Linked DNA regions of Rattus norvegicus. The protein of the gene in region 6 purifies or fractionates together with the protein of the main gene of each other region. This does not show direct contact. Links are inferred from orthologs where the notes say so. Each region holds a gene or a part of one and is shown on either strand. Other genes may lie near its edges. The genes, in order: Eps8, Nhsl3, Nck2, Nck1, Eps8l1, Abi1 and Brk1.

Region 1 (4,209 bases), on a different chromosome or scaffold from region 6:
TTTTCTTTTCTTTTTTTTCGGAGCTGGGGACCGAACGCAGGGCCTTGCGCTTGCTAGGCAAGCGCTCTACCACTGAGCTAAATCCCCAACCCCGAGGAGGAGTCTTACTAGTTTTTCTTTTTTTAATCTCATACACATTCGGTCTCCACTCTAAAATGCTTATCCCACAGGTTCTCTGCCTTCTCCCCTAATATTCTCAGAGACAGGCACCTATGACACATTACCAAGACAGGGACGGGCTTTCTTCTTCTGTCTTCTCACCACAGTTAGACTGTGGACAAAGCACCTCAAAATGGCTCTTGTCCGATGGATTGTCTTAGCACCAACTTTACATCTCCCAGTCCCTCCAAACCTATTCACTTATTTACTTACTTTTATTTTCTGTGCATCCGTATGTATATGTAGGGGATATCTGTGTACATCTCTGTGTGGAAGCCATAGGTAGCCAAGGGTTATGTCCCTCGGTTGGGATTCACTGTATTTTCTGAGGCAGAGTCTCTTACAGCCAAATCTAGCTGATTTGGTTAAGGTGACTTCTGGATCCCCAGGGATGCACCTGCTTTATTGCCTCACACTGGGGTTACAGGTGTGTACTGTCACACCTGGCATTCAAAACGACAAAGAAAAAAGGTTTATTTAATTATATATTTGTTTTTAGGTGTGTGAGTGTGCATGTGTGTCTGTGCACCGCACGCATGCCTGGTGCCCTCAGAGGCTGGAAGAGGGCATTGGATCACCTAGAACTACAGTTGCAGATGGTTATGAACCAGCGTCTTGTTGCGGGGAACCAAAATTGGGTCCTCTATAAAAGTAGCCAGTGCTCTTAATTACTGAGACATCTGTCTAGCTCCTGCCTGGCTTTTAAAATGTCAGTTTGGGGTCAAGACTAAGGACCTCATGCTTGCCTAGCAAGGACTTTATTGACCAAGGCATCTCCCCATCCTGTGTGGCACCAGGGCCATTACGTACAGCAGGGTACAGTAGCTATGTCCTGTTTGCAAAGGAAGGCCAGAAATCCTGTATCATCTTAGTCCCGTGAGTATTTCCTTCGGAAGCAGTCTGCTTCAGGAGACATGGCACCGATCCGAATGTAGATTTGAACCGTATATGTTCTTATATGTCATCTCTCATTTGAGTCCTTAAATGGTCCCTCTCTGCCTCCACACCACCACAGCTGACCGCGTTTGCTCTGTGTCCATTGCCTTGGCCGCTAGATCTAGCTTTGACTTGGCACCAGATGATCTTCTTCATCGTAAGAGAAACCACATGCTTACTTTAAAGAAAATACTTTATTCTCATGTGTTTGTGAGGGTGGGTTCGTGCATGTGGATGTACTACCCGAGGATCCCAGAAGAGGGCGTCACATCCCCTGGAGCTGGAGTTACAAGGTGGCTGTGAGCCTCAGGGTTTGGGTGCTGAGAACTGAATCCAGGTCCTCCACCAGGCCAGGGAGGACTCTCAGCCATTAGTCAAATCTCCAGCTGCCCTGTACATACATATTTTATTGTACCTGCATTTACTTTTCTGTGTTTCTTGTACAAAGCCTTTCTTCGTTAGCTCATCTAACCACCATATTGCTGCACCTCCCCCTTGGTTACTCATTGACACCCAGTTCCTTAGACTCTGACTCTTCAGCGTAAAAGTGGCCATAGTAACCACATCTAGCACCCAGACAGCTCTCCATCAATGCCTCTCATTGTGCTTTGGTACTCTGTCACTCTCCACACCTTGGGCAAGCACTTTACCTTCTCAGCAGTGGCTATTTCCTCATTAAAAAGAGGAGGAAGTCTTAGCTAAGGCCGAGAGAGTCCAAAGGAGAGACTTTGTTGAGTATAGCGGAACATCGAAACTGAAGCAGGGTCCCTCCCTCTCGGTGTATGAACCAAGGGTCACTGGACACGTCCGAGAGCAGGGAGCGGTGCTCTCTCAGTCTTGCCTTGACGGTCACTTGGAAGAGTTTTACCTGAGCACTGCAGGAGGGTAAGTTGGAGTTTGTGAATATTTTCTTTGCCAAGGAGGGCTCTCAAAGGTGTAATTATGACAGAAGATGTTTGTAGACCTTAAAAGGTAGTATTATTTTTAGGCCAAGTAGGCCCTTTAATGATTTTTTTTTTTTTTAGTTGCCTTTGAGATTCCTAGTGGCTTCTGAACCCGGTAAAATCTTGGGATACCTTAGTGTCCTCGGCCTCCCTCCCTTCCTGTTTCCTTGCTTGGGGATTTAAAGGTCTTTCTTCTTAAGAGTCTGGTGCTTGCTTTAGGAGAGTAATCTCCCTGTTTACCTTTTAGCTAAGAAGGGATCCGAGAACTATTAATAGTTTGGAAGCTATAGACATAAAATTGACCTAAAATGAATCTTACAGGCAAAACACTTTGATTATGCTATAAATATTAACTGCTTTGAATTGTCTGAACAGTGTTAGTTGTTCTATGAAAATTTGCTTATTACTCAAATTTTAACCTTCATAGGTTATTGTTGGCTCTGAGCCCACAGAGTGAACACCGCCGACCTTCTATGCAAACATTTTACTTGGGACTGAAACTGTAGTTGGATATGTGTGTTTAACGTTTTTGTTTTTAAAATCTGTGTGTATTAATGGAACTTGTAAATATTTAAATAGTCAATTAGTGGAAGTTGTAAAGGAACAACTATTTTTAAAATAGCTAAGTTTATAATTTTGGTATTTTAGTATTAAATTTGAGTTTAGAGGCAAGCAAGACTATCAATGTGTAGGAGTCTCTATATGCCTTTTATTTTTGAGGTTCTTACTGGATTGTCACAATTAATCTGATTGGAAAGGAAACGTTTGCTTCTTGCTCTGTTACCAGAAGTTAAATACAAAGCTAGGATTGACACTAGGTAAGAACAAAGAGGCGCCCAATAGTCCAACAGAGGGCAAAAGTCAGTGTCTGCCTGACTTACTCTTCTGGAGTGGGGCTGCACATTCTTCAGTTTAAGTCATAATATGTGTATGAGAGTGTGTGTGAATGTGAGTGTGTGGGGGGGTATGTGTGTGTGTATGTGCATGTGGGTACGGTGTGTGTGTATGTGTGTGTGTACACATGTGTATATGCATGTGTGTGTGGTGTGTGTGTATATGTGTTGTGTGTGTGTCTGTGTGTTTTGTGTGTGTGTCTGTGTGTGCATGTATGTGTATGTGTGTGTATATGTGTGTGTGTATGAGAGTGTGTGTGTGTATGGTGTGTGTGTATGTGTGTGGTGTGTGTGTAATGTGTATGTATGTGTTTGTGGGGTGTGTGTGAATGTGTGTGTGTATGTGTGTGTGTATATGAGAGTGTGTGTTGTGTGTATGTGTGTGTTGTGTATGTGCTTGTGTGTGTGTGTGTATGGTGTGTGTGTATATGGTGTGTGTTTATATGGTGTGTGTGTGTGCGTATGTGCATGTGTGTATGGTGTGTGTGTCTGTGTGTTGTGTGTGTGTCTTCATGTTGTGTGTGTCTGCGTGTGCATGTATATGTATATGTGTATGTGTGTATGTGTGTATGTGTGTATGTGTGTATGTGTGTATGTGTGTATGTGTGTATGTGTGTGTCTTATATGTAAATAGTGAGCCTGTGTGTGTGAAGAGGTATATGTACATATATATGGATGCAAATGGAGGTCAGAGATCCCTGTCCAGTGTCTACTCAGTCTTATCTTTGGGGGTAGCCTATCTCACTGACTCTGAGATGCGTGGATTCTTCTAGGCTAGCTGGCCAGTCTGCTGCAGAGAACCATCTGTCTGTCTCTTAAGCCCTAGGGTTACGGGTGCACACTGCTGCCTCTGGTTTTTCACAGGGATGTTAGGTGTGAAGCTTGGTCTTCAGGCTTGCTTTAGTAAGCCCTTTATCCGCTGAGACATTCCCCCATCGCCTAAGTGATGCTCCAAACATCATTCTTGTGTGTGTGTATTTTCCTGTAAGGTGTCTATCGTATATAGGCCATGAAGAAGGCTGACAACACAGGCCTTCCTCACATGACCTTCTAGTAACACATACGGCCTTTAGGAGCAGAAAGAACTGTGAGGCTCATGGAGATATTTATGGTATGACTTATTTTTATCTCGGTTATAAACTTTTGTACAAATTCCAAGGCACAATGTCAGTGTCGTGTGGACTTTAAACTCCACGTATTCTCTGAGAAAGGAATGTAAAACATTTTGTTCTTTGACCCAGACTTCTCCCCACTTGAAGGAGGATGTGTGTGTATAC
Region 2 (4,006 bases), on a different chromosome or scaffold from region 6:
CCTCCTGCTGGGAGCGGCTGGCATTAAGAGAAGACTTGTTTATAAGTGAAAACAAACAGACAGTATTTGCCTTCACAGTTCTGAATGCATGAAGTGCAGACTTACTTTATCCCTTTGCCTGAGGCTCAGCGTGGACAGTAGGTAACCTGCCTGGCCCCCAGGTTCGCCACAGCTGGAAGCCTTGGGGACTTTCAGGGGCTGGAGCAGGTCAGATCACACTCTGCACTGTGGTCCCCTTACAACTTTAGAGTGAGGTCTACTGTGTGCCAGGGGAGATTAGGCTGAGTGATCAATTCCTGTTCGTTTCCTTATGCAGGCAAGGACCAGGAGAAAGCTGTGTGACAAGTGTCAAGTTGATAATGCTAGACAACTCTCAACTCTAACCATGGGACACACAAGACTCTTCCGGGGACCACGGAGGTTTGTTAGCCTCTAGGCAGAGATGAGCTTCAGAATGCTGGCTTTGATCTCCTCCTGGCCTCACTCTCCCTTCTGTCCTAAAGGGAAACATTCCCTACCTTGCTTTCCTCACAGCTTGTAAACTCAGAGATACAAAAGGGCTTGGTCAGCTATAATAAAGCACCAGAGGCCTGCAAGGAAATGAACACAGCATTTTCAAGACTTCTAAAGGTGCTTTCTTACCAGCCTCCCCAGGCACTCAGTAGTCACCTACCTTAAGTCCCACCCTAATTTATCTTAGTTGAGCATCTCCATGGGAAAGCCCGAGTCTTAATATGAGTGCCCTGGGGGAATCACAGCCCTGTTAAGGGTAAACTGAGGCCGGATCATCCCACTCTAGGTGCTCAAGAATGAATCAGGAACAATCAGGAACACAGAGCATTGCTGGAGGCTGGGGCCCCCCGCTGTGGTCCTGAGCCAGGGGAATGCCTGCCACAGGTCCTAGGTATCTGGGCAAAAGTCTTTCCCAACCGCAGGAGACACCGGATGGTTCAAGCCCAGGACCTCGCTGCGCCCTTTCCTGCCTTACGGATCCCAAACTTCTTCAGAGAGACAGATCCTGGAAATTTGGGGAGTGGGGACGAGGAACCCCTTCTCTGCAGCCGGACCTCGCCCTCGGGGCACGGCCGGTGGGGAGGGGCGGTTTGCCGCTGCGCTGCTACCGCTCCCCCCCTGCCCCCGACGGCCGCTCCCGCCGCTCGCGCCCCGCCCGCCCCGCGGCCCCGCCCGAGCTGCCCCCGCCCCCGCAGCTCTCCCTCGGCCTCCGCCGCCCAAACTTTTTTCTCCGGGCGCGTCTCCAGCGGCGGCCGCCCCCGCGCATGGGCGCCGCGCTGCAGGGGGCCTGACCCCCGCCGCTGGCACCGCGCGTCCCCAGCCCCGCGCCATGGCGGCCCGCGCGCCCCCCGCCGCACCTGCGGCCGACGAGCCTGGGAGCCCCGGCGGCCCCCCGCGCAGGAAGAAGTCCCGCTCCGGCCTCCGCCGCGCCTTCAGCTGGCTGCGGGGCAAACGGCGCAAGAAGAAGGCGGCTGGGGCCGAGGGCGCCGAGTCCGCCGCCCCGCGGGCCAAGAAAGCGGAGGACAAGGCCAAGCGGTCCAAGGGCAAAAGCCGAGGTGAGGTGGCCTGGCACCTGGGTTGAGCGCGCCAAGGGTGTGGCAGGGTGGGTCCTCTGGGGTGGGTGGGTGGGGGTCGGCTGTATGTGGACGGCTTGTCCCTTAGGCAGTGGTTTTGGATGAAGTGAAGAGCCCAAGGTACCATAAGATAAGACCTGCGCCGCTCCAGGGACACAGTCTATCCAACTTTGAGGGGCAGAGACCCCTGTCTGGGGCAGGGGTCCCCCGGTTTAAGCAGGAAGTGCTGGCTGGCTGGCCCTCCTGGTGGAAAGACACTTCCCCTCTCCCAGGTTCTGCCCTCTGCTGAGTCAGGGGGTCGGAGATTTGACACTGGCCAGGGGCCAATGGGAGAGGCAGGTGGCCTTGGGTCTTGGAATGGCAGTCTCTTTGGGTCTTTAAGGTCAGCCTACTCAAAAAGGAGGTTTTTTTTTTTTTTTGCCCTCCAGGTAGATCCTGGTTACCAGCTCCACAAAGTACTCAGCGCGGAGTCCTTTGCCTTAGGTTGTTAGCAGTGTTAGCTTTTCCCATCTCCACACCCCACACCCCCCTTACCTGGGCCAAACCACAAGCATCCACCTCCTGAGTGGTGAGATCACCATCCTGAACCAGAGGCCGCTCCTCCTCTCTCAGTACTCTCCCTAGTCCCCGTAGGAACCTGCTTGTGTTGAAAGTGGGGAAACTGAGGCGCAAGTGAAATGGGCTCTCCAGGTGAACTCCAGCAGCCCTTTCCGAGTCTTTGGAAGTTTTGAGCCCATGGCTCTCCCTGGAACCTAAGGGATGGGAGGCCCGAGAAACAGAAACGGGAAGGAACAGGGAGTCTTCTATCCCTGTTAAGGTCACTGTACTTTTGGCCACTTGTCCGGCTTTCCCCTCATCTCCTGCTTCTACCTTCGGTTTGGTAGGGAGACCTTTAGTCTCTGCTAGAGGGTAGAGAGGCCAGCCGCTGCTGAAGTTTATCTTTCCTATACCGCCAAGTTAAAGTGTTGAAGGTGAGGAAGTGGCCTGGATCGGGGCCCATTCCAATCTAGCTGTGTTTCCCTTCGGTGTCCTTTAACTACCTCTGGCAAGTTAGAAAGAACGTTAGGGGTCAGGAAGAGGGTGTAAAGCCTCTTGTATGATTGCATCCGGCCCATCTTCCTTTTGGAAAAGGGCCCCGCTCCCTTGCAGCCCAGCCACAAATAGAAATTTGGGCGCTTAGATTGAGATGGATGGGCCAAGCCCTGAGGGAAGGTTTGCTTGGGGTGGTGTTTCCAAGTGTTCTCCAGCCCCTAACTGGAGGGGAATGTGTCCCAGGGCTCCCCACTAGAATTCAGGGTGAAGTTATACCCCTCTGACACAGAGAGCTTGTGTCAGAAAGGCAGCAATACGGGTTGTGGTCAGATGGTCAGGCAGGATAGTGGTTGAGTGGGCTATCTTAGGGAGGTGACTCTCTTTTTCAGGTGACCAGCCTGGAGGCAGAGGGCTATAGGGGTAAGTTAGTACTTGAGCCTCCTAGGGTTGGCAGGTCAGCGGCCTAGCCTCCTGTCTTGTGTTTGGTATTGAGTAGCACTGGGATTTCTGGGCAATAGGCTGGCCTCACAGAGTCCACGTGCCTGGGTGACACCCTCTGCCCTGAGCGGTTGTCTTTCCGAGGCTGCAGGTGGCCGCAGGTACTTCTGAGGGCAGCCTGCTCCCTTTTGCTCCAGCCTCCAATTGTTCAGATTGTTTCCCTGTCACCTGCCTGGGCCAGCTTCTTTTCTGTTTATTAAGAGAAATAAATCCGATCTTTCTAATCTCCACTGGCCAGGAAGGGGAGGCTGGAGGCTTAACTCTTTCAGGGCAGATGACCATCAGAACGGAGACTGGGGAAGGAGGGATCTACTAGGAGCTTTTCTGGAAGGACTGAGAGGCCTTTGTGGGAAGCTCAATGGGTCCGCCACAGTCTCAGAACCAGAGATCGAGAGACACAGGTCTCAGCTCCCCTTACTGCTCTTCTGTAAACCGGGAGATGGTGCTTACAATGTGATTTTGAGCTGCAATCTCCTGTGCCCCACCTCCCTTCCCACACTCTTCTTCCCCTCATAGCCTTAGCAGAAAGGAGGAAACCTGACATTGATGGATTACTCTGAATGTGTCAGGAGACTTACATTCATTTCCTCACTCGATCCCATTTGCAGAGCTGGACGTAGTGGCAGCACACCGCCAGCATTGGAGTTGCTGAGGTAGGAGAATACATTTGAGGCCAGCCTAGACTACATATCAACACCTCTTCTCAATGGGGGTGGGGGTGGGGGTATCCCATGGGGCAAAAACCCTGAGGCTTAGTGACGGCGAATGACTGATTTGACAAAAACTCAGATTGATATTCACAGTCAGATGCTTCAGAAACCAACATGATTCTTCAGAAGACACAGAGGGGAGGCTCGAAGGTCTCACGCAGCCCACTCTACAGAGAGGCA
Region 3 (3,500 bases), on a different chromosome or scaffold from region 6:
GTTTGCTCAAAGGAGACCCCATGTCCAAATCCACATGCCCAGCCTTTCTGGCCTCGCTGCCTGCCTTCAGGTCTAGGAAGCGTCTGCATTTTCTTCTGCTCTTTCCCTAGCACTTAAACATCCCACTGCCTTAAACCAGACAATTGGTTTAGCAGTTCACCTCCTGGAGGGTATCTTTGGTTATTTCCCAGTTTGGGCAATTTGAATAAAGAAGTGAATATCCAAGTATTGCTTTGTTTTACGGTATGATTTTATATTTATAGGAATAGTTCTGTACAGTTATTTATGCAGGAAATTAGCCCCTAGCTAATTTCTCCAGTGTTAACATATTATATTGAATTGTCAAAACTAGCTAGCCTGGGCGCGTCGCTGTTGTCTAGGCTTTGTTTACATTTCAACAGTGTTTTTACAAATTTTCTTGGTGTATTTTACCATCCATCTCCAAATACCTCAGTGCATTGGTAGTACATTAATTGAATTTGAGTTTATAGGAGTGGTTTGGGTGTGTTATATTTATTAAATATCTTCAAAATCCTCAGCATGTGCTGAAAATAGGAGTGCAAACCTATCAGCTGTAAGGGCGGTGTCACTTGCCAAGTGAGCGCTTTAATCATGAGATTATTATTCTGAGTGTTTTGCCCCCAAGTTCGCATCTAGCGTCAGTAAATGCGCAGTGTGCTTAGTGCACTGAGAGGGGCTGCAGGCTTTGATTACAAGATGCTGTTTCTCAGCAGCACTAGGGCCTACGGGTAGGTCATTCTAAGGGCAAGTGCTTCAAGGGGCTGAGAGGAGACCGGGGGCAGTGTGGCCATGGGAGCTGTCGTTGACAGCTTTTCAAATCTGTCAGAGGAGAGGGGTTCAGGTAGCTAATGAGCATCTTTAAATGTTTTGCTGGCAGAAGGGCTCCATGAAAGATGACAGAAGAAGTCATTGTCATAGCCAAGTGGGACTACACTGCCCAGCAGGACCAGGAGCTCGACATCAGGAAGAACGAGCGGCTGTGGCTGCTGGACGACTCCAAGACGTGGTGGCGGGTGAGGAATGCGGCCAACAGGACAGGCTACGTGCCTTCCAACTACGTGGAGCGTAAGAACAGCCTGAAGAAGGGGTCCCTGGTGAAGAATCTCAAGGACACGCTAGGTGAGTGTCCATACCCCACCTGGAATAGCAGGTCGTCCCACAGGAACAGCCAGGGTTAGCACTGCTGCTTCAGTGTGCGTGTGCGTGCATGCGTGCGTGCGTGCGTGCGTGTGTGTCTGTGTCTGTGTCTGTGTGTGTGTGTGTGTTAGATACGTAGTGTGTGTATGCATGTGTTGTGTGTGTGTGTGTTATGTATGTAGTGTGTGTATGCATGTGTAGTGTGTGTGTGTGTGTTAGGTATGTAGTGTGTGTATGCATGTGTAGTGTGTGTGTGTGTGTTAGGTATGTAGTGTGTGTATGCATGTGTAGTGTGTGTGTGTGTGTTAGGTATGTAGTGTGTGTATGCATGTGTAGTGTGTGTGTGTTAGGTATGTAGTGTGTGTATGCATGTGTAGTGTGTGTGCGTGTGTGTGTGTGTGTGCGTGTGTGTCTGTGTCTCTGTGTGTGTGTCTGTGTTAGATACGTAGTGTGTGTATGCATGTGTAGTGTGTGTGTGTGTGTGTGTGTGTGTGTGTGTTAGATACATAGTGTGTGTATGCATGTGTTGTGTGTGTGTGTGTGTGTGGTAGGTGTATAGTGTGTGTGTACGTGTTGTGTGTGATAGGAATGTGTGTAGTGTGTGTGTGTATGTGGCTGTGTATACAGTGTGTTTGTGTGTATGGAGTAGGTATGTATGTATGTTATGGGGTGTGTTATATGTGGTAGGTGTGTAGTGTGTGTGTAGGTGTGTGTGTGTGTTAGATATGTAGTATGTGTTTGCATGTGTAGTATGTGTGTATGTGTGTGGTAGGTGTATAGTGTGTGTGTATGTGCTGTGTGTGGTAGGAATGTGTGTAGTGTATGTATGTGGCTGTGTATTCAGTATGTTTGTGTGTATGGAGTAGGTGTATATGTTGTGGGGTGTATATGTATGTGGTAGGTGTGTAATATGTGTGTGTGTATGGTAGGAATGTGTATAGTATGTGTATGTATGTGGCTGTGTATTCAGTGTGTTTGTGTGTGTGGAGTAGTTGTAGGGTGTGTTGTATATGGTAGGTGCATAGTGTGTGTATAGGTGTGTGTGTATGTATGTGCTATGTGTGTGTATGTGTAGTAGGAGTGTGGGTAGTGTATATATGTGGTGCCTGTGTGTGTGTGTGTGTGTGTGTGTGTGTATGTGTATGTGCTGTGTGTGTGTATGTGTGGTAGGAGTGTGTGTATGTATGTGGTGCATGTGTGTGTGTATGTGTATGTAGTGTATGTGTTTTGGGGCCGGTATTAATGTTGATAGCCTCCTACCTTCTGGGGTTTTATATTGAGATTAAGATAAACACTAATCATTCTCTGGATAAATTATACAGTTTGGGATCTTGGGTAAATCAACTCCTCCTCATGGTGCTAAGGACCCCTACACAGCTGTCTGTCTCCTTGTATCCAGACAGTAGAGGACCCTGACTTAGAATCATGACAAGTTTAGTAGCTTTTTCTGTCAGTGTATCACCTTTTATCTTACAAATTCCCATGCTGGCCTCTGCACACAGAAGGAGAAGGCACTTCTCCCCTCGTCTTCGGTGATAGCATAGTTTATTCTACAGTTTCGGGCAGTTGGTTAATGTGTAGTTGGGGTGATTAGAAACATGACATCAGAAGTCTCTCAGATGGATACCTCCATAAGCCCTGTTTGGTTATCACATTCTTCATAGCTGTGCCTCTTGTCTTCCTCTGGTATATTAGTTCATTTCCTGACACTGTAACAAACTGCTTGAGGTTAGGCTATATAAAGAACACTGCTTAATTTGGCTTACACTCATGGTCCAAAGTCAAGTGGCTGTATGTATATCTCCTTCTTGGCAAATTTTCAGTATGGTACAAGTTCCTTATGGCAAGAGACCAGGAGGGATAAAGAATTGTATGTGTGTGTTTTTGATACTGTTCCCTCTGTAAACAGAATTTATGCAACTGCTATCACCCAAAGGCCCCACTTCTAACCACTGTTATAGGAACCAGTTTCTTCTTTCTTACTACCTCTGTAGGGGATTAAATTCAGCACAAGGTAAGGAGATACATTCGAACCCCAGTAATCCATAGCACCTGATCAGACAGGGGTTCGCTACCTCAGTGGTAGGGAAGCATACCTGAGTGTGTACATTGTCCTCACCAACCATGGTTACTGCCTCAGATTGTCTGAGAATATAATTGGGAGGGCTCTGTGGAAGGACAACTGAACTGAGCTGACAGTTTACAGTTGCTGCCTCCTCAGGTAAAGTATAAAGTTGTCTATAGGCAACAAGGCCAGCTCGCCACTTGAGGTTTGTTGTGGAAGTAAGCCAGTATCATCACCTGGGCTGAGTGTATGTAGGCTTTTTTGTGTGTTACTGGAA
Region 4 (3,500 bases), on a different chromosome or scaffold from region 6:
CTGGGATTACAGTTGTGTGCTGCTGTCTGGCGTTTTGATAGGTTCTGGGGCATTAGACTCTTCCTCCTGTTTGCAGAGCAAGCACATTGCCAATTGAGCCGTCTCCTCGGCCTTTATTTTAACTGACATCGTATCATGGCAGTAATGATTTACACTCTGTGCTGAGGTCTTTTCAGACAGTCGAGTTGCAGTAATACAAGTAACCTCCCCCCCACCCCCCACACGTTTTTCTGCTCATCTTTGTTTTTCTCATGGTTCTCAAACCCGTGGGGCCTTGTGCATTCTGGGCACGAATACTACCACTGACCTGCTACATCCTAGCTCATCAGTGTTTCTTACAGAGCATGTTGTTTCTTTTTCTTTCTTCTTTTTTAAAGCATCTTTGTTCACTTAAGTGATTCCCTTACAAAGCATAAAACAATGTGTGGCAGATTTTGAGGCTTTTGCAAATCCTTTGTATGTCTCTATCTTGTTGACATACTTGTGCAAAAGGAAGTTGGATTCTGAATTAAAGTTAATTTTCTGGATTAAAATTAAAATTCTAGATTAAAGTACTTACTTCATTGTTGAGAAAACAGACCTGGTATCAATGCCCAAGACAAAAGGCTGAATTGGCTTCCTTTGTGAGGCATATATATCTGCTTTTATGAAAGGAATCTCTCCGAAGAAAGCAGAATGAGATCAACTCTAAAATAGTTTCAAGACAGCCTTTGAAACTATTATTGCAACTATATGTTATTGAACTATTATTGAATAATAGTTGTAACTATTATTGAAACTATTTTTTCTTTTAAAATAATGTGTATAAGCCAGGCAGTGGTGGTTCACACCTTTAATCCTAGCACTCAGAAGGCAGAAGCAGGTAGATTGATGACATTGAAGCCAGCCCGGTCTACAGAGTGAGTTCCAGGATAGCCAGGGCTACACAGAGAAACCCTACCTCAAAATACAAAACAAACCAATAAAAAAAAAAACAAACCAAAAATCCCACCAATCAATCTTTCAATCAATCAATATAATTTCTTCTTGATTTTAGTAGAGTTTTCCTGTAAAACTTTCTTTCTTTGGTGTTGATGTTATAGGAAGACTTGTTAATACTATTTTTCATACAGTTTCATCATTGTATTTTATTATCTTCAGATTTATTTATAAAGTTGTTTGTGTTACTATTAACTTTGACTGTTTTGCAGTACACAGTTGTAGCTCCCGGTATTTACATGTACTTTTTCTTTGTTTTATTGATTAATATCTCCAGAATTGTCATTTTAATTAGAGAGAGGACTGGAGCTTCACCTCCTGAGTGTTACACACTCTTCTACACTGGGCAATGGCTGGCAGCCCTGACTCTGAGCCATCTCCTTCATAAATTCTTTTGCCAGTTACATGAAAGTTGAAAATAATTTTTAAACCAGTTTATAAAGTAATGGGCTTCATTATTCCAATTTAAATATTTATTTATTTATTTATTTTTTTTTGGTTCTTTTTTTCGGAGCTGGGGACCGAACCCAGGGCCTTGCGCTAAATATTTATTTTATTTTTAATATTTTTAATTTATTTAGTGTGTGTATGACAGAGAAGAAGGAGGAAGAGGGGGGAGGAGAGAGGGAGAGGGAGGGGAGAGGAGAGGAGAGATGGAGTTACCAGGGGTTGTTAGTTACCTGAGGTGGGGAGTCTGAACCAAATCTCAGTTCTCCGGAAGACAGGAAATACTTTTAACAGCTGAGCCATTGCTCCTGCCCTTATTACTGAATTTTTCATACACACATATCAGTGTACTTGGTTCTCAGTCCAGAGAACAACATGAAAGGGGTTAGACTTTTGAGATATGAAATGTTGTCTAAGTTAGCCTCGGAGTTATGATGCTACTACCTTAGTCTCCAGTTGCTGAACTTACAGGCTAAAACTTTCTTTAAAGTTTTAGCTCATACTGATGGTATCTATGTGTTCCATATATGTTCTTTTGTTTAGAAGTAACACTTGACATGCCTGTTATATCTCACTAACAGTGTTATTTTATAACCTTGATGCTTTGTCTCCTTGATTGTTTAATTATTGAGATAAGTATGTTAAAAATAATCCCTCATAATAATGGATTTGTTATTTCTCCTGTAGTTAGACCACTATATTTAAATTTTGTACTATATAACTTATATGGGATAGAAAAGTATTCAGAAAGCATCTATGTTATTTGTTACATACAAGTTTGATTTTATCCACATTAAGAAAAATGTTCAGTTGTTTGTGTAGTGAATTTCATTGCTAATGGTGGTTTTAAATGTAAGTTAGTTTATATAATACTAAATAGGAACAAGTGCTTTTTAAAAATTAGTATTTGCCTGTTGGCATTTTTCATATCACTTTTAACTTTTTGATGTTCTTAGATGTTTTTCTTTTTATAGTATTGGGAATTGAACTCAAAGCTGTGCATATTCTAGGCATGTTCTCTACCACTAAACTACATGCAACCCCAGCCCCCGTCTCCTGTTTTGTATATTATTTTTGAGACAGGGCCTTACTCTGTAGCTCACTCTAGCTTCAAACTTAGTGTGTAGCCAAGGCTAGCCTCAAACTTATGAAAGTCCTCTGGCCTCAGCCTTTTGAGTGTTAGGCTTGCTGGTATGATTCATAATTTCTGGCCTCTTACATGTTTAGGCATGTCTTTTTGAACAAGCATGTAGACAGTTACACTCCAGCAACATTTAAACACATTGTCTATGTGTTACAGTGAGGCTGCTGAAACATGGCTGAAGAAGTGGTGGTGGTGGCCAAATTTGATTATGTGGCACAGCAGGAACAAGAGCTGGATATCAAGAAGAATGAGAGATTATGGCTCCTGGATGACTCTAAGTCCTGGTGGCGAGTTCGAAATTCCATGAATAAAACAGGTTTTGTCCCTTCTAACTATGTGGAAAGAAAAAATAGTGCTCGGAAAGCATCTATTGTTAAAAACCTGAAGGACACCTTAGGTAAGTGGTTTCCTATTGGAGGAAAAGCAACAGCTTTCATTTGAGATGGATTTTGGAACTTAGTTCTTTGAACACAATCCATATAGCAGTATGCAAAGTTGTTTTATCTAGACAATGTAAGTTGAATTCCTAACAGCTGTTTAAGAGGCAATGACGATCATGTTAGCTGTTTATATTAATCTAGGCCTGCATTCAAATGGTACTAATGAGCAGAACTAACTTTGACCTTCAGACACACCAGGGAAGGCATCGGATCCCATTACAGATGGTTGTGAGCCACCATGCGGTTGCTGGGAATTGAACTCAGGACCTCTGGAAGAGCAGTCAGTGCTCTTAACCACTGAGCCATCTCTCCAGCCCAACTTTGGCCTTCTTACAACAGCTCCTGTGGAGTTTCGATTTGCAAAAAATTTGCCACTAATTGAGAAAGGGAAAATGAATGAGATTCGCAATTGATTCTAGGCTTCCTGGTAATTTATGTTACATGGCACATTACTGAACTTTATTGACATGTTAATGAATTTCCCTTAAAAA
Region 5 (2,609 bases), on a different chromosome or scaffold from region 6:
TGGCTTAACTTGAGTTTAAACCTAGCTGCATAGAGAATATTCAGAGTGACCCTGACAAGGACTTCCAGGGCCCAACAAAGTTACACCTTCCTTTTACTACTACACCGTACCTCAGTTCCTTCCCTATAAAAAGTGAAATAATGGCCATATTCTGCTACTGAAATCCTGTCATCCCTGCTACTCAAAAGCATGAAGCAGGAGGATCGAAAGTTCTGGGCCTACCTGGACTACAGAGTGAGCTCAAACGCCAGCCTGTGCAAAGTAGCAAAGCCTTGCCTCGGAAAAAAAAAAAAAAAAAGAAAGAGCCTGGAAGGGGCTAGAGAAATGGCTTAGTAGTTAAGAGCCCTAGCTGCTCTTCCAGAGGACCAGGGTTTGACTTCCAGCAGCCATACATGCAGCTCACAACCATCTGTAACTCCAGTCTCAGGGGATCCAACACTCTCTTAGGTCTCTGTAGGTACCAGGCACACAGGTTATGCACAGACCTATATGCAGACAAATACATCTATATACACAAAATAAAACAGAGGGCTGGCATGTAGCTCATGGCATTTGCCTATAATCTACCAGTAAAGGGTTGGAGGCTCAGGAGTAGAGTGACTGCCAGAGAAGCTAGTAGTGAGGGGTTGGGAGTGTGGCTTAGTGGTAGAATTCTTGCCTAGAATCCACCAGTAAAGTGCTATGGCCATGGCTTACCTGTCTGGGCTGTGGCTCAGAAGTAGAATACTTGCCTAGAACCTACTAGTAAGGAGCTGGTGCAATATCTGCCTGACATACACAGGATACTGGGTTCAATGCCCTGTACCACACATAGGGTGGAAGGGAGATAATAGTGAAATCTCTGGAGGAGGAAGGAAGTAAAGTGGGTCTGCATTTATGGGTCTACAGGCTAGCTCCGGGAGAATCAGATGGAGATGAACATGATTGGCATGCAGTGCAGTATAAGCATATGCATTGGCGATTGTTTGTACCTTGCTCGTTATCCTAGTGGATGATCAGTATAGATCTGTTGTTTCTAACTATCTGCTCTGAGTTTCATTATTCTCATAAAATGCAAGTGAGGAGCTGGAGAGATGGCACAGAGGTTAAGAACACCCTCTACCCTTACAGAGAGGACCTGGGTTCAGCTCCTGGCACCACATGGTGGCCCACAACCGGCTGTAACTCCAGCACTAGGAAGCCAGCTCTGTGAGGACCACACGTAGATGGTGCACACACATAAGTGCAGGCAAAATACACACAAATAACATTAAGAACAAAAAAAATGCAAGTGAGGACCGGGAGTGTAGCTCAGAAGCACTTCCTTAGCATGCACAAGGTCCTGGGTTCAATCCCCACCACCCCATAAAGAATTAAACAGTAATTTTATCATGTTTACTGCATGATGCCAGGCAAGGAAATGAGCCAACTATATTCAAGCTGTGACTCCAATGTCAAGTCTGTATTAACGTATTAACCTGGGACCCTGCTCTGGCCTCTGCTTGGCTCTAACCCCAACTCATACTAGCAATTTATAATCCAGACCATCGAGGCTAGCTACCTCCTTATCTCCTACCCGTTTCACTCTCCCTAGTCATCAAGATCCAGAACTGGAAACTGAGTCCCAGCTAGAAGAGAAAGCCAGAAAATGGGTTCTGTGTAATTATGACTTCCAGGCCCGAAATGGCAGCGAGCTATCTGTCAAGCACCGAGATGTGTTGGAGGTTAGTGGTGTGGGGGCCTGAGACCCTGGAATTGGCCGGTTCTGCATAGACTACACATAGAACCAGCAAGAATTTTCTGCTTATTTCCCATCTAGGTCCTGGATGACAGGCGCAAATGGTGGAAGGTTCGGGACCATCAAGGACAAGAGGGCTATGTACCCTATAATATCCTGACACCCCACCCTGGACCTCAGGTGCACTGCAGCCAAAGCTCCGCAATAAACCTAGTAAGTCAGCATATTCTTGCTTCTTCAGGGAAAAGTGGGGGCTAGATTCTAGGTCCTGGGGATGGGGACGGAGAAAATCAGGTGTGAAGGGTACTTCTTGGAGAGTGGGGTGTTCAGTTTATTGAGATAGGGGCTGGGAGCCTTATCTCTCTCTCTCTCTCTCTCTCTCTCTCTCTCTCTCTCTCTCTCTCTCTCTCTCTCTCTCTCTCTCTCTCTCTCTCTCTCTCCTCTACCCCCCCCCCCCGCCCTCTTCATTCCCTTCCAGGAGACTAGCCCACCTCCTCCCCCACCTGCTGCAGCTCCAGCCCCCACTCAGGTGCGGCCCCAGTGGGACAGTTGCGACAGTCTAAACAGTTTGGATCCCAGCGACAAGGGTAAGTAGTGGAGAGTCTCTGGGAAGTGATCCTTATCTTCACTTTTCCGACTCCACTCTGGGCAGGCTAGAGACTCCCGAATCCCTGGCTCCAGCACCCTGAGTGCGCACTCCCTCCCTTCACGATTTCCCTCCTGCAGAGAAATTTTCCCAGATGCTTTGTGTCAATGAGGAGCTGCAGGCGCGCCTGGCGCAGGGCCGTTCGGGTCCCAGCCGGGTAACCCCGGGGCTTCGAGCCCCGGAGCCCCAGCTCAGCCCACGCTCTGAGGCCTCGGTGGTCCGTGCCTGGCTGCAGACCAAGGGCTT
Region 6 (4,015 bases):
TGCATTACTTAAAAAAGAATAGGAAGGCATGAGAAAAGAAATTAGAAGAGGAAAGTTCTGAAATTATATATTTAAAAATGTACACACACACACACACACACACACACACACACACACACACACAGAGAGAGAGAGAGAGAGAGAGAGAGCGCTAGTCTTTTGCCATGGAGTAGTGTGGCAGTCAGAGGGAAAACTGTAGGAGTCTGCTGTTTTGGTCTCCCGCCATATGAGTTCTGGGGTTTGAATTGAGAAAGCACCTTTATCTGCTGAGTCATATTGGCAGCCCTAAAATTGTCTATTTTAAATGTTAACATCCTCGCATTTGTCCATCCTTCATTCTCTGTCTTAGACATGATCACCCTTTATAACCCAGACTGTTTTTCAGTTCATTGTCAGTTTCCCGAGTGCTGGGATAATGGATGTGCAGCCACTCTTCATTAATTTTTTTCCCTGTCCTGAAATTCGGTTTTAAATCAGGCCGGCCTTGAACTCAAGTAGATCCATCGCCTCTGCTAGCCATAGACGTTTGCGACCACGCCCAGCTTTCTTTAAATTCTTTTTTAAAAAAGGATTTATTTATTTACTTTCTTTAAATTCTTAAGCGTGAAAACTATCCTTGCCCCATTTGTTTCTGCCATAGCAAGCACACTGCTTGATGTACATCTGAGAATTGATAGTTTTCTAGGTTTTAAATGAATTGGGGCATAAGTTGAGGCAAAGTCTCTCACAAAACTGAGGAAGTCAGGTCTCGCAGTTTCTGTTTTTAATTGTTATCTGATTGGATGCCTTTGACTTACTGACATTTCCTAATTAAGTAAGTTCTGCAAATTTTCAAAGTTTTCTCATAGGAATAATTTCGCTGCTTAGATCACCTTGTGGCGCCATCTTCTGGGATCTTGAGAAGAGTCTAGATTTAAGACTGTATAGGTCTTGGTTCTTTAAATTCTTTTCAGGATTTTTGGAAGCACCTTAAACGCATGCGCGGCCTAGCCAGGAAGAAACTACAATTCCCAGAAAGGATTGCTATAGAGGGCGTGGTGGAAACTCTCGTTGTAAGAGGGAAATGATTCTCGCGAGAAAGTGAGTCTATGGTGGCTGTGCGTCCTGGGTGGAGGGGGGCGGGGAGAGTAAAGAGGAAGAGGAGGAGGTGCAGTCCCACAATACCCGGCGGAGGGCGGGTGGGTGGTTAGTGTCTGATCTCTGCGGCGCTTCGGTCCCCGTCGGACTCAGCTGCCTCTGTCTCTTTAACGCGAGAGGAAGCGATGCGGAGGGGTGGAAAATGGCAGAGCTGCAGATGTTACTAGAGGAGGAGATCCCGTCTGGCAAGAGGGCGCTGATAGAGAGTTACCAGAACCTGACCCGGGTGGCGGACTACTGTGAAAACAACTACATACAGGTGAGGCGCTTGGGCGGCCGGCGAGGACCGCTGGGGCGACGGGCAGGCTGGGTGCGGTGGGAGCTGCCCCACTCCGCCACCCTCCGCCCTGGCCCGAGCAGCCGCAGCCGCGGCGATACAGGAAGTGGCCGCCGCGAGAAAATGGGTGAGGAGCAGGGCCGCCCCGGGCGCCGCCGGCCCTGAAGCCGCTCCCCGCGTGCCCAGCCGGCTGCGCTCCCGGCAGCCTGCCCCGGACCGGCGGCGTTCCCCGCCGCCTGCCCGTGCAGTCGCTCCCCAAAGCCTATCCTGGCCGAGCTCTGCTTCTCTCAGCCTGCCCGGCCCAGCTCTGCTCCCCACCACCTGCCCTGGCTGAGGTTTGCGCCTAGACCCCGGCGGCTTTCCCAGGCCGGGTCGTGCTCCCGGCAGTCTTTCCTCCGGGGCTCCACTCGCTGCAGTCTTCTCTTGGTCGGGCTGTACTCCTCGTTGCCTCTTTTGGCTACTGTTGGTCCTAAGACCCCCCTCAGCCTTCCCTGGCCGGGATCGGCCCTGGCTGAAGTCCTCCTGGAAATCCCGTAGCCTCCCTTGGTCGCTTTGGACCCCAGAATTCTCTGTCGCCCCTGAGCCCAGTGTGATGAGATCCGGACAGCTGCGTGAGGAATGGGCAGGGAAGGAAAAGCGGGGTGTGTGTCGTTGGAGGGTTGGGTGGGGTGGGGGTGATTATGTCAGTTCATCCTAGAGGGTGTGCCTTTTATTTATTTAAAAAAATTGTCACGAGTCACGTTTGTACAGTGCGGGGAGTGATTGCTGAGGGTTTGATAAAATTCATCTTAAAATTCTTTTAATTGGAGGAAATCTGCGTACTTGGCGATTTTCAAGTCCGGCTTTTCCTCATATTTACTTCTGCTTCAGGATAATGTATACTGGTTATTATAAAGCACGAATGATTCATAGGGAAATTCAGTGGGAAATGTCTTAAATACTTCTCTTCCTCCAAATGTTCTTGGACTGTTGCCTTTGAACGCAGTAGTGTCATCGTTGCTTATGTTCTGAGATTTCTATCATGAGTTAATATTTAGAAGAGTATGAATAAAGTAGGTTGGCAAGCATTATTTAATCTTTGGGTCATAACGTAAAATTGCTTCTTAATTTATCAGGAAATTCTTGGCACTTTTACTATGCTATGCGTGCTTATGTTTAGTAGCGATTGTAAGTGAATTGTATGCAGTGGTTTGGCTTGTAGTTCCTGTCGTTGTGTAAAAACTAACAGTTTGCAGTAGAAGCAAATGAAGTAGTGGAATTCTTTGTATCAGATACTGAGACTAGAAGCTCACTTCCTGTTGACAAGGCAAAACCTGAAATCTTTGAAAAGTTAGGGTTATTGTACTTGAGACCTGAAGGATTTCTGAACGTGCCTTGCGAGTGTGCAAGGGCCTTCTGTGCTTGGGGATGCCTGTACACTTCGTTTTCAGAGGGAGATGCTGTTTTGAGGCTTAAGTATTTGCCACTTTCCATATTAGTAACATTCTGTCTGGAGTGGTGTGCCAAGGAATTTGTCTTCATGCCTTCTTTTCCAGCCTTTGACTCTGGTAATCTGCTGATAAACTTATTGAATGCCTCCTGTGTCTTCTGTATGACTTGTTTCTGAAAACTATATATGAAGCTGGTTAAAAACACATTTTAGGGCTGGGGATTTAGCTCAGTGGTAGAGCGCTTACCTTGGAAGCGCAAGGCCCTGGGTTCGGTCCCCAGCTCCGAAAAAAAGAACCAAAAAAAAAAAAAAAAAAAAACAAAACACATTTTAAGGAGCAGAAAGGGTGCCTTGACAACTGTTAAGAGCAGTTGGTGCTTTTGCAGAGGACTCGATCGAGTTCAATTCCCAGCACCCTCATGTTGGTTCACAACCATCCTTAACTACGGACCAGGGGATCCACTGCTTCTTCTGACACCTTTGGGCTTCAAACACACGTTCAGCATACATACAGACACACAAGCACACACATATACACATGTAGGCAAAGATACTCAAAAGTAAAATAAGTCTAATATGTTAAATCCTTTAAAAAATGGTACAGAAATATGGATATAGTGTGGAAATAGAAAAGTGATCTTGTATTTTATAGATACTAAAAAATGTACAACTTTGGGCTGGAGGGATGGCTCAGTGGTTAAGAGCACTGACTGCTCTTCCAGAGGTCCTGAGTTCAATTCCCAGCAACCACGTGGTGGCTCACAACCATCTGTAGTGGGATCCAGTGTCCTCTTCTGGTGTGTCTGAAGACAGCGACAGTGTACTCACATGCATGAAATCAATCAATCAATCAATCAATCTTTTTAAAAATGTACAACTTTTATTTATTTTAGTGTGAAAAGCCTTGAGTTTGTTGCATCTTTGGTTCCCATCCCTGAATGAGGCCGCTTACAACCACCTGTAACTCCAGCTTCAGGGGATCTAACACCTTCTGGACTACCTGAGGACCTGCAGGAGTTCATAGACACATCTACACATAAAAAGTGAACAGACACACAATTTAGAGCAACCCACTTTAATTGGTAATAGTGCTGATTAGGATAAGGAGTTGTGTCATTTCTTTTTCTTTGTTTATAATGTTTGTGTGTGTTTTCAGTTTTAATATATGTGCT
Region 7 (4,160 bases), on a different chromosome or scaffold from region 6:
GTTAAGGTTTCCAACACTGTGAAGAGGCACCATAACAAGGAAACGCTTAGAAAGTCAAACATTGAATTGGGGCTGGCTTACAGTTTCAAAGGTTCAGTCCATTTTCATCATGGTGGAAAGCATGGTACCCAGCAGGCCAACTTGATCTAAAGGCAGTCAGGAGGTGGCTGTCTTCTGCAGACAGCCAGGAGGAGGCTCTGATTCCACACCAGCCAGACTTTGAACACTAGGAAACCTCAAAGCTCACACCCACAGTGACATGCCCACTCCAACAAGGCCACACCTCCTCACAGAGCCACTCCCCATGGGTCAAGTATTCAAACATAGGCCAAACCTATTGAAACCACCACACAAGGGTTGACTCCACCTTTGTTTAGCTTTACTGCAATTACTATAGCAGGCACTACCTCAAAGCCCAATTCTTAGGGTTAAAGTATTTCTCTCAGTCTCTTGAGTGCTGAAGTTACAAGCATGCGCGATGACCACTTCCTTTAACGATTTTCTTAATGACTCGGTGGAAAGGTTAGAGATTGCTTTTGCAGTTCTTGATAGAAATTGCTCTAGTTTACACTGAGACTTACCATTTTGCTTCAGCCTGTCCATCGCTGGGCATTAGCATTAAAAATGTAGTTTGCTCATTTGGTCAATATGGAGATTCAGAATCCGTGGGATGCCTCGATTAATAAAGACACTTGCCACCCGAAAATGGAAGGCAAGGAACCAACTCCTGAAAGTTGTCCTGTAACTTCTGCTTGCGTGTTGTGTCACATGTACGCTTACACACACGTAATATGAATAAAAATTTTAGCATGGCGGTGGTGGCCCACACCTTTACTCCCAGCACTCAGGAGGGAGAGGCAGGTGGATCTCAGAGTTCGAGACCAACCTGGTTTACAGAGTGAGTTTAGGGACAGCCAGGACTACACAGAGAGATCCTGTCTCGAAAAACAAACAACAACAATAACAATTTTAAAAGAAAACGAGAATGAGCAGAGTTGTGACCCAAGCATGAAAAGCATCTTGAACGGGATTTGTGGACTGTGGCCAAATCTGCTGACAAAGCGCAAGAAAGCTTGGAGCAACCCTAGGTGGAGGTAGGAGCGTGTGGGCGTCCCCTAACGACAAGACCCGCTAGTGATCAGCGGGTTTGTGCAGGCGGGGACAGGGTAGCTCTCAGTCTTCACAGTGCGAGTGGAGGAGCCTTGTTTTCCCCTGCGTGGGAGCCAAACTGGAACGGTGAAGACAGTTAGTCTGCGCGTGCGCGCCTCAATGCCAGGACTTTCTGGGGCTCGAACACTTGGGTGCCGGCGGCAGCGCAGGCGCGTTGGAGGCCTGTGGAGGTCGCGGCGCCTGCGCAGTCACTCTTCCTCAGGCTGCCGCCATGGCGGGACAAGAGGATCCGGTGCAGCGAGAGATTCACCAGGACTGGGCGAACCGGGAGTACATTGAGATCATCACCAGCAGCATCAAGAAAATCTCGGACTTTCTCAACTCTTTCGGTCAGCGGGCGAGCAGGGGAGGCTGGGAGGAGGGAGGCATCGGAGGCTGCCGGCGGCGCTCAGGAGAGGCGCGCCGTGCCGGCTACTCGCTTCCTCTTTCGCTCCCTGCCGGCCCCAGGACCCTCACCCTGAGCCTCACTAGGCGGTTTCCGTGGGTCTACCCTACCCATTGCCATGCCCCGCTTGCGCACGTCAGCGCGCCCGCTGCCCAGCCTCTTAGGCCCATCCATCGTCTGACTTGGTTTGCGCTGCCCTTCCTTGCCAGTCTGCACTTGGCACGCAGTGCGCAGCCGTGTCACAGTCACGAATACTGTTAAGAGACTCCTGATAGTTCTCCATCTCCTTCAGGATCAAGTCGGAAAGCCCTTAGTGCCATGCCTTCTATTGCTCCCGTTTAACCATTCCCCTGCCGTTCATTCCCCCAGCTCCCTTTGGTTCTAGTGATGAGGGTTGTAAGGGATGGGGCCCTGTCGGGTCTTGGAAATGCGTTTTGTAGCCCTGTATCTGCTTCATAGTAGGTGTTCTGGGTGCTTCTGTCTGGTTCCTCGGGTTTAACAGGGCAGATTGCTTTCAGCAGAGTCTACTTTTCCAAAAACTATTCCTAGGTGTGGCCGGCTGCTGACAGTCTTGATTTCTTTCTGCATGTGTTCCTAGCCTTCTGGACTGAAAACCTGTCACAGACTCCTTACGGTCTCCGGAAGGGTTCCTTCAGGAACTTTCTTACACAATACAAGACGTGCAGATGGCATCCAGTGATCTTTTTCAACTAGAGTACTGTGGTTCTACTAATTAGCAACTTTCAGCATCTTTGGGAGAGTGCTGTATTTTGGAAAGTAAATTAAAATGAGTCGATTATTTTCTAGCTAAAGACCTGATGAGTCCTAAGTAGTATAATGGAGGTGACAGAGCAGAATGATGTAGTTCAGGTGTTGGGCTCCTGAGTGGCAGGCACAAGACCCTCCACTCCTTAGAAAGTAAAGAGTTTTCTCTTTTTCTCCGCCCCCCCTTTTGGGTGTTGTTGTTGTTGTTGTTGTTGTTGTTTTGTTTTGTTTTTTGTTTGTTAAGAAAAGAGAACAAAAAAGAAGGCGGAAACGCATCATTAAGCGACTAGGGATTCCCTGTCTGTAGAGCAGTGGCCCTGCAGGCGCACACTGTGCCTCTAAGTAGCAGCACTCAGGAAGCAGAGGCAGGAGGAACTCAAACTCATCTGCTTTGTAGAAAGTTTGAGTCCAGCCTGGTAGAACAAAGCAAAAATCAGCAGGGGTAACTGGTCCTTACACAGGTCCTGCTGTATTTGGTGGCTCGCGCCTGTGCTCTTAGCACTTGAGAGAGGAAGGCTGGAAGAGTGTTATGCATCTGAGGCCAGCCTGGTCCTCAGAACAGCCACAAAAAAGGAACCATTTTCTGGGGCTCTAAAGATTGCTCAGCTTCCAGAGGACCCAGGTACAAATCCCAGGACCCACGCTGCAGTTCGCAACTGTCCATAACTCCAGTTCTAGGGGATATGACACAGACATATATGAAGGGAGACTATCAATGTAAAAAAAAAAAATCCATCTTCTGTATTCAAAGGCGTTCCTTCGGTTGGGGATTTAGCTCAGTGGTAGAGCGCTTGCCTAGGAAGTGCAAGGCCCTGGGTTCGGTCCCCAGCTCCGGAAAAAAAAAAACAAAAAAAAAAAACAAAGGCGTTCCTTCAGGTTGTTGAGATGGCTTGGCAGGTAAAAGCCACCAAGTCTGGCAACCTGCATACAATCGTCAGGGTCTACAAGGTGAGAGAACCAACTGCCACACGTTGTCTTCTGACCCCACAACGGTACCGTAGTACATGCTCACACCCACCTTCAAATACAGCATAAAGAAGAGATCTTAATCTGTCCATCCATCCTCCGTCTCCCCTACTCCATTTTGGTTTTGAGTCTTGGAAATTGCTAGAGCTCTAGGTTCACCGTGTTCAACTTTTTCTTCCCTTCCCCTCCTGTGATAATTAGTCTATCACTTTATGCTGGCCTGGAACTCTATTGATCAAGGATGTCCTCTAATTTGCGATGCCTCTTCTTGGCTCCGCTTCCCAGGTGCTGGGATTAGAAGTGTACTTACAAAATGTGTAGGGCTCCATGTAAGCTTACATGGATTTTCTCAACGGGGAACGGAGGTTAAAGATTAATTAGTGAGGGAGTAGCATAAATGTGTCAGTGCCATAGCCTCACACCCGTAAGTCACTGTGGAGGCTACGGTAGAGAACTGTAGTCAATAAGAGTTCACGTATCCCCAGAAGAAGCCGATTTAAGAAGTATAAGAAAAAGAATTCAACTCCGTGGGCAAGGCAGGTGGGCTCGCAGTTCAACCCTATGATGCAGATTCAAACATTTCGAGAACTGATCATTTGTCCTGCCGCCCATAGTCTAGTTTCCCTGTGGAGGTTTTCTGTTTTGGCCCAGGACCTTGTGAATGCTGGAATCAACTCCACCCTAAGTTGCACTTGCTGGGCGTGTGCTTTCTGTGTAAATGACTTCCATGTTTGGTCCACGTAGTTGATTTCTCCTACTTTGCCAGAGAACTGGAATATTTCACTTTTTTATTTAAACAGCATTCCTTATTGAAAAACATCCCCTCAAGTAAGAATCAAATGAACTGACAAACATTCCCTCAAGGAAGAATCGA

Evidence for each region.
Region 1: the proteins of Abi1 (region 6) and Eps8 purify together in Homo sapiens (affinity purification with western blotting; 4 studies listed by BioGRID, with this or other methods). This does not show direct contact. The link is inferred for Rattus norvegicus from reciprocal best matches to the Homo sapiens genes ABI1 and EPS8.
Region 2: the proteins of Abi1 (region 6) and Nhsl3 purify together in Homo sapiens (affinity purification with mass spectrometry; 3 studies listed by BioGRID and IntAct, with this or other methods). This does not show direct contact. The link is inferred for Rattus norvegicus from reciprocal best matches to the Homo sapiens genes ABI1 and NHSL3.
Region 3: the proteins of Abi1 (region 6) and Nck2 purify together in Homo sapiens (affinity purification with mass spectrometry; 3 studies listed by BioGRID and IntAct, counting the BioPlex papers as one, with this or other methods). This does not show direct contact. The link is inferred for Rattus norvegicus from reciprocal best matches to the Homo sapiens genes ABI1 and NCK2.
Region 4: the proteins of Abi1 (region 6) and Nck1 purify together in Homo sapiens (co-immunoprecipitation; 4 studies listed by BioGRID and IntAct, with this or other methods). This does not show direct contact. The link is inferred for Rattus norvegicus from reciprocal best matches to the Homo sapiens genes ABI1 and NCK1.
Region 5: the proteins of Abi1 (region 6) and Eps8l1 purify together in Homo sapiens (co-immunoprecipitation; 4 studies listed by BioGRID and IntAct, with this or other methods). This does not show direct contact. The link is inferred for Rattus norvegicus from reciprocal best matches to the Homo sapiens genes ABI1 and EPS8L1.
Region 7: the proteins of Abi1 (region 6) and Brk1 purify together in Homo sapiens (co-immunoprecipitation; 3 studies listed by BioGRID and IntAct, with this or other methods). This does not show direct contact. The link is inferred for Rattus norvegicus from reciprocal best matches to the Homo sapiens genes ABI1 and BRK1.

The regions. Positions count from the first base shown.
Region 1 is NC_086022.1:172,215,361-172,219,569, reverse strand, and holds the start of Eps8 (epidermal growth factor receptor kinase substrate 8), read left to right. Parts: upstream 1-1,409; 5' UTR 1,410-1,980; intron 1,981-4,209. UniProt on the Homo sapiens protein: Signaling adapter that controls various cellular protrusions by regulating actin cytoskeleton dynamics and architecture. Depending on its association with other signal transducers, can regulate different processes.
Region 2 is NC_086023.1:146,874,705-146,878,710, reverse strand, and holds the start of Nhsl3 (NHS like 3), read left to right. Parts: upstream 1-1,206; 5' UTR 1,207-1,342; coding exon 1,343-1,568; intron 1,569-4,006. UniProt on the Homo sapiens protein: Able to directly activate the TNF-NFkappaB signaling pathway.
Region 3 is NC_086027.1:53,293,979-53,297,478, forward strand, and holds part of Nck2 (cytoplasmic protein NCK2), read left to right. Parts: intron 1-898; 5' UTR 899-914; coding exon 915-1,140; intron 1,141-3,500. UniProt on the Homo sapiens protein: Adapter protein which associates with tyrosine-phosphorylated growth factor receptors or their cellular substrates. Maintains low levels of EIF2S1 phosphorylation by promoting its dephosphorylation by PP1.
Region 4 is NC_086026.1:109,913,248-109,916,747, reverse strand, and holds part of Nck1 (cytoplasmic protein NCK1), read left to right. Parts: intron 1-2,725; 5' UTR 2,726-2,740; coding exon 2,741-2,966; intron 2,967-3,007; exon of another isoform or gene 3,008-3,500. UniProt on the Homo sapiens protein: Adapter protein which associates with tyrosine-phosphorylated growth factor receptors, such as KDR and PDGFRB, or their cellular substrates. Maintains low levels of EIF2S1 phosphorylation by promoting its dephosphorylation by PP1.
Region 5 is NC_086019.1:78,389,026-78,391,634, reverse strand, and holds part of Eps8l1 (epidermal growth factor receptor kinase substrate 8-like protein 1), read left to right. Parts: intron 1-1,573; coding exon 1,574-1,703; intron 1,704-1,798; coding exon 1,799-1,930; intron 1,931-2,195; coding exon 2,196-2,304; intron 2,305-2,443; coding exon 2,444-2,609. UniProt on the Homo sapiens protein: Stimulates guanine exchange activity of SOS1. May play a role in membrane ruffling and remodeling of the actin cytoskeleton.
Region 6 is NC_086035.1:90,085,028-90,089,042, reverse strand, and holds the start of Abi1 (abl interactor 1), read left to right. Parts: upstream 1-1,215; 5' UTR 1,216-1,279; coding exon 1,280-1,396; intron 1,397-4,015. UniProt on the Homo sapiens protein: May act in negative regulation of cell growth and transformation by interacting with nonreceptor tyrosine kinases ABL1 and/or ABL2. May play a role in regulation of EGF-induced Erk pathway activation. Involved in cytoskeletal reorganization and EGFR signaling.
Region 7 is NC_086022.1:148,305,076-148,309,235, forward strand, and holds the start of Brk1 (protein BRICK1), read left to right. Parts: upstream 1-1,360; 5' UTR 1,361-1,381; coding exon 1,382-1,499; intron 1,500-4,160. UniProt on the Homo sapiens protein: Involved in regulation of actin and microtubule organization. Part of a WAVE complex that activates the Arp2/3 complex. As component of the WAVE1 complex, required for BDNF-NTRK2 endocytic trafficking and signaling from early endosomes.